4 linked regions of the Rattus norvegicus genome follow. The protein of the gene in region 1 interacts with the protein of each later gene in a biochemical or structural test. Links are inferred from orthologs where the notes say so. Each region holds a gene or a part of one and is shown on either strand. Other genes may lie near its edges.

Evidence for each region.
Region 2: the proteins of Cdc5l (region 1) and Prpf19 form a complex in vitro, tested with the Homo sapiens proteins (2 studies listed by BioGRID, with this or other methods). The link is inferred for Rattus norvegicus from reciprocal best matches to the Homo sapiens genes CDC5L and PRPF19.
Region 3: the proteins of Cdc5l (region 1) and Plrg1 form a complex in vitro, tested with the Homo sapiens proteins (3 studies listed by BioGRID, with this or other methods). The link is inferred for Rattus norvegicus from reciprocal best matches to the Homo sapiens genes CDC5L and PLRG1.
Region 4: the proteins of Cdc5l (region 1) and Ctnnbl1 form a complex in vitro, tested with the Homo sapiens proteins (3 studies listed by BioGRID and IntAct, with this or other methods). The link is inferred for Rattus norvegicus from reciprocal best matches to the Homo sapiens genes CDC5L and CTNNBL1.

Annotation. Positions count from the first base shown.
Region 1 is NC_086027.1:23,064,404-23,069,785, forward strand, and holds part of Cdc5l (cell division cycle 5-like protein), read left to right. Parts: intron 1-508; coding exon 509-612; intron 613-2,349; coding exon 2,350-2,511; intron 2,512-3,073; coding exon 3,074-3,201; intron 3,202-4,419; coding exon 4,420-4,519; intron 4,520-5,382.
Region 2 is NC_086019.1:216,968,571-216,973,952, forward strand, and holds part of Prpf19 (pre-mRNA-processing factor 19), read left to right. Parts: intron 1-169; coding exon 170-319; intron 320-478; coding exon 479-555; intron 556-1,666; coding exon of another isoform or gene 1,667-1,723; coding exon 1,724-1,865; intron 1,866-1,960; coding exon 1,961-2,034; intron 2,035-2,126; coding exon 2,127-2,189; intron 2,190-2,911; coding exon 2,912-2,953; intron 2,954-3,050; coding exon 3,051-3,125; intron 3,126-3,397; coding exon 3,398-3,473; intron 3,474-3,637; coding exon 3,638-3,747; intron 3,748-5,382. UniProt on the Homo sapiens protein: Ubiquitin-protein ligase which is a core component of several complexes mainly involved pre-mRNA splicing and DNA repair. Required for pre-mRNA splicing as component of the spliceosome.
Region 3 is NC_086020.1:170,703,522-170,709,544, reverse strand, and holds the start of Plrg1 (pleiotropic regulator 1), read right to left. Parts: upstream 3,358-6,023; 5' UTR 3,265-3,357; coding exon 3,256-3,264; intron 2,267-3,255; coding exon 2,160-2,266; intron 718-2,159; coding exon 575-717; intron 1-574. UniProt on the Homo sapiens protein: Involved in pre-mRNA splicing as component of the spliceosome. Component of the PRP19-CDC5L complex that forms an integral part of the spliceosome and is required for activating pre-mRNA splicing.
Region 4 is NC_086021.1:166,890,232-166,895,613, reverse strand, and holds part of Ctnnbl1 (beta-catenin-like protein 1), read right to left. Parts: intron 3,630-5,382; coding exon 3,557-3,629; intron 3,334-3,556; coding exon 3,275-3,333; intron 2,293-3,274; exon of another isoform or gene 2,254-2,292; coding exon of another isoform or gene 2,137-2,253; intron 1,910-2,136; coding exon 1,761-1,909; intron 1-1,760. UniProt on the Homo sapiens protein: Component of the PRP19-CDC5L complex that forms an integral part of the spliceosome and is required for activating pre-mRNA splicing.

The sequences.
Region 1 (5,382 bases):
TTTGTTTTTGTTTTTGTTGCAGTTGTTATTTTTGTTTTGAGTAAATATAAATATGAACTCTATCTTTGAAGAGAATGGCAGGTACATATGGGTGAATAATTTTGTCTGTCATAAAGTAGTGTTTTCAGCATTGACTTTTCCCACCTCCAGTTTGTTGAGGGGCAGGTAAGATGTCCTTTCTCTCTTTTTTTTTAAAGATATATTTTACTTTAAAAATTATGTGTCTGTGCATGAGTACAGGTGCCTTCAGTGGCTAGAGACTTTGAATCCCCTTGTAGCTGGAGTTATAGGCAGGATGCCTGATAAGGGTGCTGGGAATTGAACTCACATTTTCTGCAAAGAGCAGTACATGTTCTTAACCACTGAATAATAAAGTTTCCATGCCTTTTTTATTTTTTTAACGATCGTGTGCCTCTCTCTACAGGACCTCTGCGGGGACTAACTTAAGTTTTGTCTTTTCTCATTTAGAGGCTTGTGACTGAATGCATTCTCTTTGGTAACTCTCTAGGATGAAATTCTTAAAGCAGCGGTAATGAAATATGGGAAAAACCAGTGGTCTAGGATTGCCTCATTGCTGCATAGGAAATCGGCAAAGCAGTGCAAAGCCAGATGGTATGTATGTACCAGTCAGTCCAGGGGAAAGCAGTGTGATCCGGATCCCCACTGTGATGAGGGAGCTGGCTCTTTGACCCCCTCTATTCCCCTAAAGCATGAACTGTGATATGGAGGGAAGTATGGAAAGAGGGGCCTTTAGATGTACTTACCACTTGCTTCCTGTGTCTTGAGCAAACCATTTTTCCTCCTCTTTACCCTGCCTGTTTTCTCACAACTTAGCACTAATTGATCAGTTGTGAATCCTTGTCCAAGTGAGTTAATGTATTTATTTGAGAGTGCCTTGTGAGACACAATACAAAATCTTAGGTAGCTGGGCCTCAGTTCATTGAATAAGTTGTGGTCTAAAAGTTTATAAATTGGTTATTTTAGGACTTACTTTCCCAAAGAAATAAATGCTAAACAGTGCTTTTTTTTTTTTTTTAAAGGCCAGGTCACAGTGGTTAGCTTCCTTTTAATAGGGCAGCAATATTGCATATTTGCTATACTAAAATGCAACATTCTACTTATGTGTTACCTTGTTAAGTCACAGAGTGGTGGTCATGAGCAGTGTCCTGGACTTGGATGAACCATCTCGGCTGCAGCCCATATGCTATGAGGAGCAGGATTTGGATTGTGTGAAGTGACCCAGATTCTGATGGTGGGAAGGGTCAGATGCAGAGCAGAAGGAAGGGGGCTCTCAGGCTGCAGTAGTTTGATTCACTTTCTCTTAGTGACTGTAAGCCTTAAGCTTCAGCCTAGCTGGAGCACCAGTGGCAGTGAGGACTTAGACATGTGGACAGGTTCTCACCCAGCTAACCACCTCATGGACAAGGCAGACTGAGACGTTAGAAGACGGACAGTGTCTTCTACTTTAAACTTAAAAGTACAGCACATGGAAGCACACAGCTCTGGAACATTAAACAGTGGGTTTAAGTGGACGTTTAGAGAAGTAAGTGAAGATGCTGTGGGACTCAAACATAAGGATGTACAGTGAAATTGTAATATAAATAATACAAGGTGCTATTTTTTCCAGGTACTTTTAGCAGTTCAGAAAATCTAAGAACAAGTGCTGGGTATGGTGATGCACATCTGTAATCCCATCATGGAATGCAGAGGCAGGCAGATGTCTGAATGCTAGGCCAGCCTGGTCTACAGATGGAGTTCTAGGACAGACAATGGTACACAGAGAAACCCTATCTCAAAAAACCAGAAAACCCAAAACAAAACAACACAATTACCACAAAAAACAAACCAAATAGACATAAAACAAAAGACGGTTAAACAAATAAAAATAAGTACTAGTTAAAAAAAAAAGAAGTTCCATGATTGCATCTTGGACTTTAGTTTGTTAGAGTTTTAAGTCTCACTAGTCTTTTTTTTTTTTTTTTTTTAAAGATTTATTCATTTATTATATATGAGTACACTGTAGCTGTTTTCAGATACACCAGAAGAGGGCATCAGATCTCTTTACAGATGGTTGTGAGCCACCATGTGGTTGCTGGGAATTGAACTCAGGACCTCTGGAAGAGTAGTCGGGTGCTCTTAACCACTGAGCCATCTCTCCAGCCCAAGTCTCACTAGTCTCACTAGTCTTATATACTGAACATACATTGTAATGTGAAGAGGGGCAGATGAGTTAGTTCAGCTTCACAGTGAGTTCTCTTGTCAGCATAGTGTTAGTGATTGAAGGATGAGAGCATGTGGTCTTAGAGTCGGTACATGGAGTACTAATGTTTGATATGTTGTCTTTAACAGGTACGAATGGCTGGACCCAAGTATTAAGAAAACTGAATGGTCCAGAGAAGAGGAAGAAAAGCTCTTGCACTTGGCCAAGCTGATGCCAACGCAGTGGAGGACCATTGCTCCAATCATAGGAAGGACAGCAGCCCAGTGCTTGGAGCACTATGAATTCCTCCTGTGAGTGGGCCTCAGAGTGTCCTGAAGGCTGTGTTATGTTAACCTGCTGAACAAGCTTAGAGCATTTCCAGCTTAGTTGTGCCTGTGACTAAAGCCAGAGAAACCAAAGTCACTGAATTCTGTATTCCAGATGTCGAATGGTTGAGCAAAATGATGTTTTCCGCCTCTCCTGTAGAAGGGTAGTTTACAAAATGTGCTAGTCACACTCAGGAAAGTGTGAGTGTGAGTGTGAGTGGGTGCATGAGGCCCCATCACCAACGCAGCGCTGCTGAGAGCTTATTAGGACTTTGTCGTTCTGTTCCAGGAGTGTATTTGTCTGGATGTTCTGTATTTGTGAGGAATGGCTGCTTGTTTCCTCATGAGTGGAAATACTGAAATTAGAGAATTGTAATGTCCCTTTTATTCTCATGAAGCAGTTGTAAAGATGCTGTTTTCCATAACACTCATCTGTTGGTTATTTTGGGAAAGAAAGGAGTGCCAGAGCCAGAACCTTGGTAATTCTCATACTAAATGGGGTGATGCTGTGACTGACTCATCTGGGGTTTGTTTTTTTCCCTCCAAGGGACAAAACTGCCCAAAGGGACAATGAAGAGGAAACAACAGATGACCCCCGAAAACTTAAGCCTGGAGAGATAGATCCAAATCCAGAAACCAAACCAGCCCGGCCTGATCCAATTGACATGGATGAGGGTGAGTGGATGCTGGGAAGAATTTCTGCTCACAACATGTGACTCAGGCCTTCCTCACACTCTTCTTAGTTTCTCCTGAACTCCTGATGTTTAGAATCCCAGTTCTGTCAGTGGTTATTCTAGGTATCTCCCCAAATGTGTCTGGTTTTTTGATGATACCCTTTATTTTCTCTTTCTTCATTTCATTTAATGAATTGATCAGTGTAGTAGTCAGATGTGCCAGAAGTGGGTGATGAGGCTCGCAGGATCCTGTCTCTCGTTCCTTTTCTAGAAGGAGAGACAACAAGCTAGCATATTGGACTTTGCTGTTTTTTTGACTTTAGGGTGATTTACTCTCTAGGAAAGGACTGGTCTTCAAGAGCTATGCTGGAGACTGACAGTGATTCTGTAACACATCGAGTCAAGAGTCCGGGATTGGCCTTTGGGTCCATCTCTGCTATTTACTAGCTGTTTGACCTTAGCTAAGTCATGTAGGCTCTTTGAACTTGAGAATAATACCTCCTTTACCTTTTTTTGGGTACGTGGTAGTTTAAAGATGAAAAGATTTAAAACCTGAATGCAGTGGCTCCCAAGAGTGACGAGTATGTGACTATGAGGCTGTTACATCCTTTCCACTTGGGGAACTTTTAAAGCTGTAGGCACCAGGTCCTCCCCTGAGGAAACTGAGTTGGTAATTCTTACTGAGGGAAGAGAGAGGACTATGATCTGAGTGGAGTCTTAAGTCTTGTCCATCATTATGAGACTGCTTTTGTTGTTTTGTTGGGGAGAGCTGTAGAAAATGTCTTGGAGAAAAAACAATTCTGAGGGGAAAAATGTCTGAAGGTTATCAGTTCCCCATGATTAGTTGCTGCATTATTTCTCTGCTGGTGAAGTGTCATTTTGTTGGTGTTACGGATGCTATTGTAGTAGAGCTTTCTGTGAGCAAATACTTGATCCTTGCTTGATATACTTCATTTTTCTTAGCTCTTAGCATCTCTGAAGTAGACATTCTTATTCTGATTTTAATGGGAAACATTTTCACAGAGGTAAATATGGCACGAGGCCTACATAACGAGCAAGTTAATGATGGGATGATTTGTAACCTTTCTCTGACTTGACAAGTTTTCTGTGCCCTGTACCAGTAGTGAGTATATTTATGCTTTTGTCATTGTAAGCACTGGGATATGCCTGACTGCTGTTGTTGGAGAGGAACTTATTTTTCTTGTCTTTATTTTCGCAGATGAACTTGAGATGCTTTCTGAGGCTCGAGCCCGTTTGGCCAATACTCAAGGAAAGAAGGCTAAGAGGAAAGCAAGAGAAAAGCAGTTGGAAGAAGCAAGGCATGTTTTCTTTTCATTCTATGTACAGTAATTGGTTATGCGTCCTTAGGTTCAGGCAACTGTATGGTTATCTGCTCTAGTTGGTAACTAGTCTGAACTGATCAATTCCCATTTTGCTGTTACTCCTTAGTGCCTTTATTGTTCTGGAACATCTGGAACAAACAAAAACAACTTCTGTATTTTCTCCCTAACCATTTCAGAATAGTTATAGGAAAAATACACTTAAAAAGTTTACAAAGCATGGCAGAAATTACGGGCAAATACTTGACCCAGCATGCTGTGTTTGATCTCTTGTAGCATTGTGGCTTCAGGTGGCTTTCACATGATTGTCAGTTTCCAGCTCCTCATCCTCTTGGTCAGTGTTGGGCAGGACTCCCAGCTGATCCTAGAGGGACTTAAAGTTAATGAGCCTTGAGCCAAAGTCTAGGCTGTCGGAGAAATCGTCACTTAAAAAGCGAGCGAACTGTATTAGGCATTGTTCTTTGCTTAGGCCTTCCCCCACCTTCTCCTTGCTTCCTTTTGGTTGAATTTATATCATTCTGATGCCCAGAAGCTAAGATAAAGTTGGTAAAGATACCATCTGAACTGTGTGGCAGTTGGTGGGATTCAGGTATTGATAAACTCCCTACCCCACAGTCTACCTAGAGCCTTTTTTGGCTCCTGTGCTGTCTAGAACTTGCTTTTTGACCTAGTGGGTAGCTAGCACTGTGTTGGTATTCCCAGTGCTGGATCCTGGGATGGAGGATGCTTTTGGCATAGTAGCTGGCCATTCATTAGTGTAGGAGTAGTCAGAGTGATACACATAGAGAACTATCCTATCTAAGAGAAGGTGCTATGTTTTCTTCATATCCAGCTACTTTTCT
Region 2 (5,382 bases), on another chromosome or scaffold:
GAGATTCTAGGTAAGTAGTTGGCAAGCATTGTGGGACCAAGTACAGGCAGGCTTGCTGTCACAGACCTTGCTTCCTGATAGCTGACTATAAAGGACAGGGTCTTGTTGGGGCTGACACAGTGAAGAGTCTCCTTTTACCCTGTGGCTCACTACCTGTCTTTCTCTATAGTCTCCAACGAAGTGCCAGAGCACCCATGCGTGTCCCCTGTCTCTAATCATGTGTATGAGCGGCGACTCATTGAGAAGTACATTGCAGAGAATGGCACAGATCCTATCAACAACCAGCCTCTCTCAGAGGAGCAGCTCATCGACATCAAAGGTGCCTGCCCAATAGCCTTGGTCCAAGGCCATCTCAGCTCAGCCTTCAAGAGTGGGAGGTGGTGCCAATCTGGTGGAGAAGATGGTGGCTGTGAGTGGGGGAGGGGAAGAGTTCCCGGGTTCTAGTTCTTCATACCTGCTTTGCTGCCTCTCTTGGCAGTTGCTCATCCAATCCGGCCCAAGCCTCCCTCTGCCACCAGCATCCCAGCCATTCTGAAAGCCTTGCAGGATGAGTGGGTGAGTCTGTGAAAAGAATGCACCTCCGGGGGCTGGGGATTTAGCTCAGTGGTAGAGCGCTTACCTAGGAAGCGCAAGGCCCTGGGTTCGGTCCCCAGCTCCGAAAAAAAGAACCAAAAAAAAAAAAAAAGAATGCACCTCCGGGCTAGGACCTGAGGATTGAACAGATGAGGCCTCCCTCCCTCCCTCTTTTAATGTAGTTTTATGTTGTGTATGGCCTTTTGCTTACATGTATGACTGTGTATGACTTACGTGCCTGGTGCTTGGGAGGCAGGAGTTGGTGTGTGATCCCTTGAACTGTAGTTATGAACAGTTGTGAACCACCCTGTGGGGTTTGGGACTTGGACCTGAGTCCTCTGGAAGAACAGCAAGTGCTCTTAATTTCCGGGCTCTCAACTCTCTGCAGGCCCTCTTACTGTCTTGAGATAGGACTTTGCTTTGTTAGACTAGTCTGAAACTTTGATCCTTTTGCCTCAGCCTTCTAGTGCTAGGATTATAAGTGCCAACCACCAGGCCTGACTCTTGGGGGTGATGAACACAGGGTTAATGTAATCCCTGTACCACTGAGCAGCCCCCCTCATTTTGTGCTGGCCTTATTTCATTTGTGAGGAACAGGATAGCAATACAAGAGGAGCCCGGTTGTTGGAACTCTTGCAGACCTAGATTCCAAAGTTTTCTCCACTGTCAGCCTTTGTGACTTAGGACACACTGCTCAGTCTCTAAGACTTGACTTCCTGACTACAGGACACTCATTAGTCTTGTCTATCTGGATTCTGTAAGTAGAATGCAGTTGACATATTTGCCTTGTGACACCAGGGACTCTTTCATTACTGGGCTCTGCATTTGCTGAGGATAGCCAGTAAATAATCACAGCAGTATAATTATTTCCTTTCAGAGAGGTGATGACATTAATGCCTGTGATTTGCTGGTGAATTGCAAAGGTTGGGGTGGGAAGGAGCTAATTCTTACTCTGTGTGTGTCCAGGGTGTGGTATGGGGTAGGAGCCTGAATGTCGTACAGGGCATTCAGGGTCACTCAGATGTTGGCTTGGGTCTCTGAGTAGCTCAGGTTGGTTTCAGTGTAGAATAGGAGGTGGTGTCCTCTTCTCTAGGGTTGGCCGAATTCTCCGGCTCTCCCCCAGTCCTCACAGTGGCCTACCCTCTCCCAGGATGCAGTCATGCTGCACAGCTTCACTCTTCGCCAGCAGCTGCAGACAACCCGCCAGGAACTGTCCCACGCTCTGTACCAGCACGATGCTGCCTGCCGAGTCATTGCCCGGCTCACCAAGGAGGTCACTGCTGCTCGAGAAGGTCTCTGGTGTTCCCTGCTGCTCCCCACCCTCTTCTGGCCCTGCTGCTGGCCCTGCTTTGTTATGTCCCATTTCTAACCTCATCTTTTCTCTCAGCTCTGGCTACTCTGAAACCACAGGCTGGTCTTATTGTACCTCAGGCTGTGCCAAGCTCACAGCCCAGTGTTGTGGTAAGTGTTCCCTTCCAGGCCCCAGTAGCTGTCCCTTACACAGACAGTTTTGGTATTGTGAGCCCCTCCTACTCTCCCTTTCTTTTCTACAGGGTGCAGGAGAGCCCATGGATTTGGGTGAGCTTGTGGGAATGACCCCTGAGATTATCCAGAAGGTAAGTTGTGTGTTCTTCTGATGGGACTGCAGTCTCTCCCTTAGTACTGTAGGCATTGGGGGCCTGTAAGACTCTCACAGTGGGCAATGAGAGGAGCCTGTACTGCCAATCAAGAGCTTTCTGATGACACTTACTTCAGTCTGGCTTCCTTTGTCTCATTTCCCTGGCTTCTGAATAGAATGAGGGGTGTGTGTTTCGTAGGCTTACTGTGGGAAAGATTTAATTACCTATGAGGGAAGTTTTTAGCTCTTGCAGTTTTTGCAGTCCTTGTTGATATTAAGTCATTTCGTTATAGATTTTGATCATTTTGCCTTAGGGCAAGAGTTATCTTTGTATTAAGATGAGGAGTCTGAGGTGGCAAGTCAGACAGCTGTGAAGAGGCAGAGCAGACTTCAGACTACAGCTAGGTTCTGTTGGATGTAGTCTTCATTTGTGGGTCAACGGAGTGAGCGCTCATCTGAGCTCTCATGTTTGTAGCCTAGACCTGCTCCCAGAGCACTACAACCTGGTTCCTGTCCCACCTGCTGTGGCAAGGGAGTTCTTTTGATGTTCAGTTTTCTCAGCTATACCATAAGGTTGTGGATACCTCACCTTATAAGATGGGGGTGGAGGTGTGTCAGCTTTTAGCCCACAGTTTGGCAGATGGCGTGTTTTGGTGATGTATCAGATGTGACTAGCACCCAGTGTGCTTTGTGTCACAAAATTATTTATGTTCTCCACAGCTTCAAGACAAGGCCACTGTACTAACCACGGAGCGTAAGAAGGTGAGTTGTTGCCTGCTGGGAACACCCACCTTCTTGGAGAAAGGGCTCGTTGAAGCCTGCTTTCATTGCTGCTCTTGGGGGCTTTTTGTTTTCTCAGAGAGGAAAAACTGTCCCTGAGGAGCTGGTGAAGCCTGAAGAGCTCAGCAAGTACCGGCAGGTGGCATCCCATGTGGTAAGTGGCTGAAGGTGGCCAGCCTGCGGAGTCATGAGAAATGCTACCTGGGTCCCTGGCAGAGTGTCTCACCTTGGCTGCTCTTCTGTCCTGCCATGCAGTGGGGGGAATTGGTACATCCAGGCAGCCAGCCAAGCTGGGTGGATAAGGAATAGAACTCACTCTTCTTTCCTGACTGGGGAGGAAAATGAGGGGTGTGGGGAAGGGGAGTGGAGGACCTGTATGGCTTGGATTTGGCTGTGACTGGGTTTCATGTGGCTCTGTCTGCAAAGGGGCTACACAGTGCTAGCATTCCTGGGATTCTTGCTCTGGACCTGTGTCCCTCAGACACCAACAAGATTCTTACTGGTGAGTCTAGGTCTGGCCTGACAGCCAAGATGAGGGATGGCAGGACCCAGGGAAGATATAACCCCCCTTGGTCCTTTGCATGGATTTAAGGACAGAAAGACCTTCTGTGGCCCAGGGATACTTTAAGGCCTGCCTCATTTTTGTCTTCTTTGTATCTTCTTCAGGTGGGGCAGATAAAAACGTTGTTGTCTTTGATAAGAGTACTGAGCAAATCCTGGCCACTCTCAAAGGCCATACCAAGAAGGTCACCAGTGTGGTGTTTCATCCTTCTCAGGTAAGACACTCTCGAAGTCACCCTTGTCTTATTTCTAAGTCCAGATCCAGTGGTTTTGAGGCTCAGAACTAATTGCCCAACCTCTAGTGTTTTGGTGAAACAGGCATTGATGTTCCCATGCTGACCCCCAAGACTGTTGAAAGTCGTGTGAGTTCTAATAGATGAGAACCCTTGATTTAGAGGATAAAAGTAGCTTATTAGATGAGATTAATGGTTTCATAGAATACAGTGGCTTTGGTATGCTGCTGCCTCAGGTACTTGAGCAGCCTCCCAGGTAGTCTTTCTCTTCATACGTTAGGAAACTTAGATGTAGGGCTGGAGCGACGGCTCAGCAGTTAAGAGCACTGACTGCTCTTCCAGAGGTCCTGAGTTCAATTCCCAGGAACCATATGGTGGCTCACAACCATCTGTAATGAAATCTGATGCCCTCTTTTTTTTTTTTTTTTTTTTAAAGGATTTATTTATTTATTATATATACATCATACAGCTTTCTGCCTGAATGTATTCCTGCAGGCCAGAAGAGGGCACCAGACCTGATTATAGATGGTTGTGAGCCACCATGTGGTTGCTGGGAATTGAACTCAGGACCTCTGGAAGAGCAGACAGTGCTCTTAACCTCTGAGCCACCTCTCCAGCCCTGATGCCCTCTTCTGGTGTGTCTGAAGACAGCTATAGTGTACTCATATATAATATTTAAAAAAAAGGAAACTGAGAAATAGAGGAATTTATGTTTGTCAGTGTTCTCTTGCTGTAAAGAGGCACCATGATCGTGGCAACTCCTATAAAAGAAAGCATTTAACTGGTGCTTGCTTACAGTTTTAGAGGGTCAGTCCATGATCATGGCAGGGAGCAGGTGGCAAGCATGGTACTGGAGCAGTAGCTGAGAGCTGTATCCTGATCCGAAAGGAGACAGACAGATATGTGTGCAGCATGCATGCAAAGCACTGGGGTTGGTGTGGGCCTTTGACCCCACCACACCCCACACCCCACACCCGTACTTCCTCTGATAGCAGCATCCTTCTAATCCTTTCAAATAGTGCCACTTTGGGGGACTAAGCATGAGCCTATGGGGGCCGTTTTTAATTCAAACCACCACAACTGTGACAAACTGAAAAAATTAGGTATAATTTGCAGCGCTATTTTCTTATTTATTTGATATTAGTGCCACTATTGGCTTTTATGTGTTAATGAAAGAATAGTTGCTTTTATCTTTTAGCTGTTGCTATCCTAACTAGTTGGAATAATTTGTTAAGGAAACTAAATAAGTTCTTTCTGCCCCAAGTCTTTTGGATAATCAACTTGCTCTTGAGGTCTAAGTGGAAGGAACAGGGCCCATGGCTTTCCTTTAGGCTCAGTGCTGCTCCCATCGTCTATTACAGCCATCTTTAGCTGCAGGCAGCACACGACTTCAGTCTCAGTTATACGAGCCATATTTTACCCAGCCTGAAAATGGGCCCCAAGTGCTCTCTGATGCAGTTGCTGCTTGTCCTACTAAGTAGTGAAGCTCTCGCCTGGCCTGGCACTTCAGCAGCACTTTTTTCCTTGGCTTTCTTAGGCTCTGTTTTGCTTTTTGTTTTTTTAAGATTTATTTTATGTATATGACACTTTGGTCTTCAGACACACCAGAAGAGGGCA
Region 3 (6,023 bases), on another chromosome or scaffold:
AATAAATAAATAAATAAAATCATTGCCAATGAATTTACCTTTATTAACGTACTGCCTTTTAAAAGGTATTATAAATATTAACTCAAGTTTTCCGTTCCACCTCTACAGAAGCCTCAGAAAGGCAGGGAGTTGATGGTTCTGCCTGTAAACTGTTAACAGGCAGATCATGTGCTTCCACCGAGCCATGCTGGGAACAGGACCCCCCCCCCCCAACTGACAACCTACTCTAGCTTTCTTCACAGTAAATAGTTGCACATGGAATATTAGATTCTCTTTGTTCATTATAATTTCATCTTTCCAAAATAAAGACCTCACAGATGGTCTCCCCACAGGTTAGGAATCAACTTCAGTTTTTCCCTGTAGACTCCACTGTAATCTTGTCTACCTCCTAAGAACCATAATCATACATTCTGCTTTCTAGTAAAAGTCATCACCTAAGCATCTTAATTACTACTCCGATGAGTTCATCAAAACTTCCACCATAGCAACAACAAATAAGCAGTCCCCCCACAGTGAGGCACTAAGGAAACGTTTTCTATTTTAAAACTCCACTTGTAAACCTCATGGTTTTCACCTTGATTGGCAGGATACTGCTTATGAGGATATGAATCTGGTGCGTTTTGAGGTCCCTTCTCCTTAAGATTCTCTTTTGAAGTAGGCATATGCAGCACAGGGCCATACTCATTACGAAGCTTGATTGCCATTTTCCGCTTGTGACTATTTAAAAATCATAAACATGAAATGCATCCTTAAATATTAGAAACACATCACCAATGAAAATATTCAGTTAGCAGAACACAAGTACAGAAAGAGATACTGTATTCCAACTCACAGATCCAGGATGTTTTTCAAGTTAACTAGTATTTTAACAAATATGAAATTTCAAAATGTATTTCTATACCATATGTATTTACTTTACCTCACAATCTACCATACAGTAGTCATTTAATCCAAAGCAGGACCATAGTTTGCAGCTGAATAAACACAAAACCTTTTTCAATGAGGTCTCAAGGGTCCAAGTAAATTAAAGACATACATAAACTAATATATCTTTTAAAAAAAACCTTTAAATGTCTGAATATAGTAAAATTTGTATAGACACCTTTATTAGTAATCTAAAAAGTCAGACCCAATGAAAGCACTAAATTAGCTCTGCATTTTAAAGATAAATGTACTTATATTACTTAAAAAGATAATCCACCTTAAAAATTAAATATAAATGCAAATGAGGGGAATTAAGTAGATTATAAAGAAAAAGCAAAGGACAGAGAAAGGCACTGCATACAACACAATCCCAGACTAGGATTGGTGAGAACCAAGAGTATGCCACTTAGAAGTCTTCACTGTACCAAGGAGCACAGATGGGAGAAGAGATACTGGCCAAGAACAATTTCAGCACAACGAGAGTCTGAGAGCAGGAAGCTAAAAGCATGCACAAAGTGATGCACTAGAAATACGATAACGTGACAGGAATGCCCCTAATTACTGGGTACTAGCTACTTTTCTATTGCTGTGGCAAACACCATAATTGAGGTAATTTAGAGAAGAAAGTATTAATTTGGGGGTCATGGTTTAAGAGGCTAGAGTCCTTGACCATCAGAGTAGGGAGCATGAGAGCAGACAGGCAAGCATGGTATTGGAGCAGCAGCTGAGCGCTTACGTCTGATTCACAAGCATGATGTGGGGGTTGTTGGGGGAGGGAGGGAGGTAAGGGAGGAAAGAGGGGGGGAGAAAAGGAGCAATAGATAGGGGAGCTAACTGGGAATGGTGTAGGTTTCTGAAATCTTACAGCTTATCCCCAATGACACACCTCCTCTAACCCTTCCAAAACAGTTCCACCAACAGAGACCAAGCATTTAAATACATGAAACTATGGAGGCCATTCTCTTTCAAATCATCACACTGGGTATCTGTAAACTATAATTAGATTTTTAAAATAGACAAGAGTTATTGTCTGTCTGGCCAGAGCTCAAGAGACAACACACAAAAATAAGCAAAATGAGTTAATGCTATTTGTATTATGATGAAAAGACACTCGCTACTGCCCAAGTATCCTGTGTCTGCATTTTTAAGACCTTTCAAAGTCACCTCCTCTCTGTCACTTTGCGCTCTTCTATCAATATAAAATACTTTAGCAACTGAAAAGGAATAGAACTTACCTCTCTTCATCCAAAGGCACAGGTTTTCCATTATCAGCCACAAACATGTCATGGGTCCTCTTCAATGACCTGAACACTAGTGTGTGCACAGAATGCTTCTGTACCTCCTGTAAAGAGACAATCAAGATCACACATCTAGCTAGAAGAGACCCATACGCTCTAATCAACATTAGATTCATTACGCACTTTACATGCTAAATACATAAAGGCTAACACTCCTCAGTAACTGTGACAAACTACAGCAGCCAACAACAAAGATGAGAAAGCTCCTGTCTGGTCAGAGTTCAAGAGACAACACACAAAAATAAGCAAAATAATTCCACATTTTGGAGGGTTCGATGGGGTGACTCAGAGGGGAAAAAAGAATTGCTAGATATAATCAAGAAAGGTTCTCTCTGGTGACAGGTAAGCAGAGAGGGAGACAGCCTTACAAAGAATAGAGGTTCAAACAGTGCAAGCTCTGGGAGATGCCACTGCGAAGACGTTCATATAATTCAGAACTGCAGCAGTTGTGAATGCTGCGGGAGTGTGGGTTCCGAAGGTCGGTGGGGTTTAGGCCTCTGCCATCACCAACATTTAACACTGGGACAGAAAGCAGCACTGAACTACATTCCTTCAATGTGTTCGTTAATCGTAAGCACTTGGAAGCTATAGAATTCGTCCAGGCAAAAGATGTTGGGCTAGATTAGGAGGACTGCAGTGGATCTGGAACGCAGTGGGTGGGAATAAGAAACGTTTGGGATACGCAAGAACAAACAAAATCAAGCACGGCAAGCTTTAATGGGGTAGAGATGAAATAACTGTGAAACTGACAAGACAGCACGGACTAGCATCCCAGCCAAGGTGGGAGCATCAGAAGCCCCGCCTCCCAGGAAAGGGCCAGATGCCAACAACACACCGACTGCAAGATTCCTTCAGGCTTCCCGCCGACTGAACCTCGGATTCGGGATGTCATCGGCCTTCCTCCCACCCCGACAGCCCAAGACCACCAGTTTTGGCTACAGTTCGCTTCCCCAGATTCCCAGTACTTTCATCCTACTTCCGTGGGCAAAGCTCCAAAGACAAACGACTCCCGAGTGCCCGAGCGTTACTTTACCTCCACCATGTCGCCGCCGTTTAGTCTACCCGTTCAGCAGCGAAGAAACTCCAAATGCTCGACGCAGAAATCGCCGCCACTATTCTGCCGCTCCTTCCGGAGATTGGGGCCTGTCGCCGGACGTGACGCCAACCGCGCATGCGTATTGGCAACCCGCCGCGCAGGGGTCGAGGGGTGGAGTCTAGCGGTGGAGGGCGGAAGCTAGGCGGAGTTGCGCGGAGACTCGTGGCGAAGAGTAGGATCTAGGCAGCTGCTGGGCGGGACTGGGCGGGGTTTGGGGCGGGGAGGGGCGGGTCTCGGCGGAACTGGGCGGAGTCCCCTGGCTGAGGGCGGAGCTTCCAGCCGGAGCGAAGGGAGCGCGGGCCTTAAAGCCCTGTTTAGGGGAGGTACTTGTTTCCGGAAGCTAAGTGCTGCTTAGAGATTCTAAGCAAGCCGTTTTTCAGAAACCATTGGGAACTTAAGTTGTTTTTACTTTATTTGACCTGATGCTAAACTGTTGACGTTTTGTGTTTCACCCAGATAAAATCTGTGGCTTACGTTCGATCGTTTCCAAGTGTTTTCTATATTGATGTAGTTGCTATTTGTGATCTTAAATAAGGCATTTTCACTGATTGTGCATCTTCCTGAACTGTGATTAAGTTCAATGATCCCGTCCTCAGAGAGTACTGCGAATACTTTGAGAAGGGTGAAAATGTAGCGCAGGTATAGCAATGTGAGCCAGTGCTCTCATTCAAATTCAAATATTTTAATTCATAATTATTCACTCAAATTCAAATATTTTAATTCATGAAAACATGAAGGTCGCATTTTTAGCCTGAAAACAGTCATTTCCGTCCTTTTAGTTTGAGCCTTAACTCCTGAGCCGTCTTTGTAGCTAGCCCACAAGTAGGCATTTCTAAATTTAAATGTGAGTTTAGTCAAAGGATCTTATTTTCTGTAAAAGTGGTCAACGTTTGTATACTTTGCAAGAAAATATTAATAACCTAGAAAAGAACATTTTAAATCACAAAACACTAAGGAAATGTTAGAAAGACCTTAACATATCTATGTTAATATGACTACTAGACAGCTCTCATTAAACTTGTTAGATAGTCATCCTGAACACAACTTATGGACAAGGCTCACAACAGCCATCTTAGAGGTAACCACACTAGGTTTTGCTTTTCTTATAACTCTCGAATTATGTCACCCATGTGAAAATTACCTTCTTGGCTTAATAAGGACCTTAAGTGACCCTATTATCTAGTTATGAGATCCATAAATCACATATATCGTAGGCAGATTTCTTGTTCACATAGGAACCTGTGTTCTTCTTGTTTGCTATGGCCTCCCTCCTCCTATTTCCTTGTTTTTGAAGAGATCCAGGATCTTTGGCTGGTTAAGAATTCTAGCCCAGAGGTGTTGGCACATGCCTTTAATCCCAGTACTGGCAGAGGTAGTCTGATTTCTGCGTTCCAGGACAGCTGGGACCAGAACTACGCAGAGGAAAAAACAAAAGAACAAACAAAAAGAGTAAGATGGACATATCTTTAAAAATAAAACCCTGTGCTGGCTGGCTAAGATATAGACTGTAGATGTCGCCATTGCGAGCCGCCTTATATAGACAGTAGATGTCACTATGGCTCTTCATTTGTGCGCAGAGGATTTTTTTTCTTTAAGCAAGCATGACTAAATTTTGATAGATATAGATATGAATGCTACATTCGTTTGTGTGAAAATGATCGTGCAGATTTTAAGGAAAGCCTTTCTTCATTGACCAAGCTGCTTTTTCATTCAGCAATGCAAATGTGTTCAATTTCCTTCAATTGTCGTACCCTTGGCTGTTGAGCAATGATGGGTGAGGTAGTGTGGGGCCCTGCACGACTGGGACAACCAGAGGGCCTGGCAGATTTAACTGAAGAGTCAAAAGCCTAAGCAGAGACCTGTTACCGCTACTGACCTGCAATAGCTGAGCCTTCTCTCTGCAAGGGTGCTGTGAATGGGCCATCCAGCCAATGGACCCGAATCTCTGCTTAATTCCTTTACAGATTTTAACTTGCTTAAGAGGCTCTGATAGGGCCAGCGTGGGGGTAAGGCTAGCATAGCCACTGTTGGTCACCTGAAGTGTGCATCATACTGACAGGACCACCATAGCCCCACTCCTGAACTCCAAAGATGGTCACTAAACCTCTGTGGTGTTCTTGCTCTTGCTCCTGTGATCTGTATCTGGTCAAATAAGAGAATGCCCTCTTGTCCCTGCTCCCCAGGCTCCTTCCTTATCAGCTACACATAAAGATCAACAGAGGGAACAACAGAGGAAGCTGTCAGCAGAGATAGTGGCCTCCTACTCTTTATCCCTGCCACAGGCCCTTCCTACCACAGGTCTCCAAGCCGCACTGTTCTGATGTTTGTGCTACAGGTTCAGCTTGGCCTTCACCTCTTGCTCTTAAGTTGTAGTTAAGGGAAACCTGCTATAGAGACTAATGCCTGTAATGTTTGCAATCGTATGCCGTGTAGACAGGCAGATCACTGGTATGTCTTCTCTGTTTGTTCATGCATACACTCAGAACAGATAGGAAACACGCCAGGTGTAAGATGTGTGATACAAGCGCTCGTTGCTACTCAGCTCCTACTTGCAAGTTTCAGAAGCCATTTTCATTTCAGTGTCCATTCGCCCTCCAAAGGTTGATACCCAAGTCACCGCAAAAGTCTCCCCTCACTCTGCATGGTTCAGTACAGGTTGCTGTGGCTGACTTCTATTTCCAGTCTTTCCCCACAGACTCATGGTC
Region 4 (5,382 bases), on another chromosome or scaffold:
TTAATTAGCCTCCCAGAAACCTCAGCATTCCAGTCTGAATAATCCATATTTCTGGTTATTTATTCAGCTCCCCACTGCTACACATTACGGAGCCATATGCTGTAGGAAGTCATCCCTTCATGTCCACACTCAGCCATCCACTGACACTGGCAGTTCAGGCCTGTACAAAGCTGGGGGAAGTCCCTCGAGAGAGGAGCTCTAAGGTCAGAAAACCCAGAAAGCCAAATGCTTTACACGCTGTCTGCTTGGGAGATAGTGGCTATTTCAATAAAGGACAGGCAATTAGAAGGGTGAAAGACGAACGCTCTCAAGAAAGGAAAACCAGAGTTGCCTCAACAGCAAAGGCCTCAGAGTAATTTCCCAGAACTCTCTCAGCACTTTAAAAAACAATTTGCTTTTAAAAGCAATTTCTCAAAGGAAGATTTTCGATCAATCCAAGGTCTAGGATACACTGTATGACAGGCATATTTCAGCTTTCCACAAACCTTTTAAAGAAAAGGAACTTTAGAGTTATCCACATTGATAATCACCAAGGCATTTAAAACACAAAACTCATTGTGGAGTTTGTCATGATAGTGAAACCCTGGAAATGGCCACAACGTTTCCTGTGTCCCTCAAGTAGTTACTGCCCCCTCATGAAGTTTATGTCACAGAATGACAAATACCACATTAAACTAAAAAGGAAACAACATGAAATGTTAGAATGTGGCAGGACTAAATGTTAAATCAATCAAACAAAAAAAATGCCCACCAATTTAATAATAAATGATAATATAATAATAAACAGCAGTAAAACCAAGAAGCCAGTATCCACCCAAAGGCAGGCTAGGCTTGGGTGACAGACTGGAGCACTTTAGCTTCGGGGAGAACTCGGGCCTTGGTTACTCCTTTGTCAGCCTGACATGTAACACACACAGTAACTAAAAACATTCTAATAGAAGACAGAGTGAACATCTACAGTCTAAATTACACTTAATAAATATATGTCAAATTTGTAAGACACTTTCAAAAGCATATCTTTGTTCAGAGTTGTCATTGCCACCAAACTAGAGGTTTCACGCTGGCCGACCCCAGCTCAGCTCCATGAATTCCATAATGATTAGAAAATTCCAAATGTATTGGCAAGCAGCACCCAGAGCCTCTCAATTTCAAATGCTGTCCCTTGGGGGTACTGCACTGTGGTCACCTCCTCAGGATCTCTCTTTTCCTTCCCAGCCACATTCCTCAATAAAACATCAAAACAAGCCATTTCTTCACTTTGTTTCCAACTTTAAGATTCTTTGGAATAACTGAGAAGCTAGAACAGTATTGTCTTTAGAGTAGAACAGAACAAAAAAGAGACATTAAAGGAAGTATTAAACCCAAAATCCTAGACCCATCCTTCCTATTTTCATATTCCACACAGAATTCATTACTGAATGAGAAAATAGGAATATTTTGCTGTCAACAGCAGGAATATAGACATGGAGGTCTATGGAGCACACAGATTTAGAGACGAACCAACCTAAGTTTAGAAGGTAATGCTTAGCTTTCTCCAAAACCAACACAATGAAAGAAACAAAGACATGACCCTCAGGGCAGAGGCCTCATCACCAGCTGACACCCAGCACACAAACAATGCACACCCTTCAGAAAAGCTCGGAGACATCTAGAACACTTCCCCAAGTGAACTGTCTGGATGAATGGGGAACTCAAGTGGCAGCCTAGAGCCAGGCTAGAGCGGGGCAGGCAGACAGGCAGTGGGTAGGACTGGGACCCACCTGAGCATGAGGTTCATGAGCTGAAGGCCCTCACCCTTCAGGAAGCGCTCCCGATTGGAGCTGAGCATCAAGCAGGAACAGAGGGCGTCAAACAGGTTCTCCATCATCTCCTGCTCCTCAGCGGTGCTGGGGTTGTGTCTTTTAAATACCTGCCAAGGAGAGTAGAAAGGAGCCATCAAACATGCTGTCCCATCAGCCAACACCCTACCTACAGTTTCCAAAGCCCACCAAGGAAGCAGAAATTTACAAATGAAGCTCTCGCCAGTTTCCAGTTTAGAGCAACTCAGTTCTGTCTTGTGGGCACTAAATAAAGATATACAAGTTCACATAAAAACACTGAACACTGAGCCAAGCACTGGACCTGAGAACAACTCACAGCTTTAAGGCAGCAGGTCAGCCAAACAAAACCACACAGCTCAGCCCTTGTCCATGGTGAAATGACAGAAACAGAAAAGGCCATACTGGGCATACACAGTGAAGCTGAGAGGGACATGTCTGAAACCACAGCTCAGCTCCCAACCCAACCCTGGCAGAAAGTTCCTGCTCAGTCCAACCCCACCCCACCCCCTTTCTGATGCACCCACAACCCAGAGGAGCCAATCCTCTCTCAGTGTGAAGAGGTGCTTCTTCCCAGGAGAGCTGCTGGATCCCCTCACTCAGGAGCAGGGGCTCAAAGTCCCAGGAATGCATCTGGGCAGTTCTGCATGTCAGAGCTGAGCCGGGCAGGGAAAGCCTGAGCTAGCTGGGCAGGCAGCCCCACACAGTCTGCAATCAGTGACTGCACAGGATAAAGCTCGGCACCTTATGGGGACCGCAAACAGCTTCCCTCCACAAAGCTCTATTTTTAGGGTGGAGGCCAAGTCACTCAGCGGCTGGCACGGCAGGAAAGCTGTATGCAAACTGCCATCTCAGACACTCAACACTCGTCAGCCTGTGTCCAAGTGATCTGTTTTCAGTGCTGTTTTGGAGTAACACAGATAAGGTTTGTTAGAAGTCTTGACTGCATTTCCAGAATGCCAGAAGGATAACATTTCAACTGGATTTACATTTCTTTTATCCAGCAAATGGCAGTTTCCAATGTCTCACTCCTGCCTGCAGTGCCACAGCCATCCCTACTGTCCCCATGATCACAAGCCCACTGTGCTCAGCACTGGAAACGGCTCGCCTTGGTCTCACCTGGACCTAAATGAGCAGACAGACTCTTAGGGATGGACCAAGGGGGAAGGAGCCGAACCATGTGGGGGCAAGGCAAAGGAACCCAACTGGCTCTTCTTGGCTGGGGGACATAGAGGAGGGCACCCTGCTTTTGGGTCAGCAGCTGGGAAAGGCCACCGTGGCACTTCCTCAGAAAGGGCCAGTGAGTAAGAAAAGAAGGCAAACCCTGTTTCTCCAGAGTGACCTCCAACCTGCCTTGGTCACAATGTGGCTGCTCCTTCCGGTATTTCTACCTCCACCTCCCACTTAAAACAGGCCATGGACCTTCATGGCCCACAGGAAGCAGAAGGACTACTCACGGATAACTGCTGAAGAAGCACATCGATTCCATCCAGCTCTCCCAGCAATTCCCTGTTTTCTAAAAGGAAGAAAATAAAGGGAGAAAAAAAAAATGAAGCCAACTGTCAGATTTTACAGCCATCTACCACTGATCCCTCAGCTAACAAAATCAATACAGCTTGACAGAGTACAAAAGCTGCACAGAGAGCAAGCAGAGAAACCAGGCAATGCCAAAGGCAAGTTCATGGGCTCCGAGGGTGAGTGTGGCTGCCAGCCTGGCCTGTCTCTAGGAGGGAGCTCACCATCATTGTCCTGGAGGAGGATGGCCAGCACTTCGCTGCAGTAGAGCTTGTTGGCATCAAAGGGCATCTTGGCCTGTGGGAAACAGAAATGAGAGGGCCATTAAGGAGTCTTGCTCCCTTTCCAGGGCAAACTGCTCACCCACTAGAGCTGAGGAGGCTGAAGGAAAGACAGGTTAGGGGGACCAGATACAGCTACTCCATACTATGGCAAAGGGAAGGAGTAGTATGTGAACGTACCCTCCTCCATAGAGCCTATTTTGTGCCCATATTTTAAGTCTAGAGACTGTATGTCTCCCATGCAAGTAAGAGAAAGTTTTGAGCTTATAAGATTAAAACATATGAAACTCCAATTTACAAGTTACAACCAGAAAATGAGGCTGTAAATTAGCTGATACATGATCAGAGAAGTTGAAAAGAAAGCAAGCTCTTGTTCAGATTAGCTAAAAATATTTATAACGAAGTAGTTCCTTTTGGAATTTTTTTAATGTTTAAAATTTAATTTGAACCCATAAACCTATCTGCTTGTAAGCCATAATCTGCCTACTATTTAAAAAGGAAACCACATTAAATATGCAAAAATGTGTTAATATTTTAATACCTAAATCACTACCCACAATTCTTCCCCTGCTGTGTGCTCTGCAGCTTGAAGACTCGGAGGGGACATGTCCACTGCAGAGGCCATCTTTCATGGCTGTCCTGTTACTTCAGCTGCAAGACTTCAACACAGCACCATGAATGGCACCCGTGCAAACCTCGCTGATGCTTTTATCTATGAGCGCCAGCTCCTTGAGATACAGGCACACAGACAATGACTTTAATCAGCACGACTCCTGCTTCGTATCTAGGTTTCGAAATGACAAATAATTTCTGTAGCTGCAGAGGACCGGCAAGTGTTCACACGGAAGCTGGCGCCTCCATCACTCTGTGCCATTCACAGAGCGGTTTGGACATTGATTTTGTACTTAAGGAGGAAGCGCGGTAGCGTCTAATCAAGCAACAGCCAGCGCCGGTTCAGTTTTCTGTGCACGTCTTCTTCATCAAGCCAACGTGCACCTCACAGGGTTTTAGGAGGGTGGCCGCATCTGACCCGTCTCAGGTTAAAAGATCCGTAAGTGCAAGACTGTGCACGTCCTGGCTGCACTGCGCGCTCCCTGACAAGCTGGAGGCCTTATTTCAAGAAATCTGTATAACGGCCAGAGCCTAAGTATAGCCTGTGGTATATTTTGCCTGAAGAAAGGTGGTTTTATAAACTCAAAACGTGGGGGTGGAAAGCCAGGCGGTGGGTATCTGTCAGGATGGAGGCTTCTTCAAACCATTAAAGTGCTTACCCAAGTTACTTCAGCCCCCAGTGCTGTGATTAGATTTCAAATGATTTTAGCCACATAAAACTACATGCAGCTTTTCAAAAGCCACACATTTTGAAACAAGACCCTTAAATGAAGGAAGGCCAGTGACACTGGCTACTGTGACAATGGTCTCCTGGGTTTCCACGCCTCTTGTCCTTTACTGAATTTCATAGACTTCTGCCTCAAGTTAAAAGGGACTCTTCCTCTTGCTTTCAGGAACTAATTATTGGCTATCTGCTACATGTAAGATAGAGAATTGAGGACACAACAAAGAGAGGTAAATTAAAGCTGAACCCTGTCGACCACTGTGAAACTTGCTATGCTACCTATGTGCCACAAAGCCTGCTGTTTCCAAACTGAACTGAGGAAGCTGGGTTGGCAGATTGAATTCACCGTAGGCTATGCTGAGATTTTCAGGGAAAAGTTGGTGACACCTGACAGCTGTGGAGTACTGCACACACTGTTCAAGGTCCCTTTCTT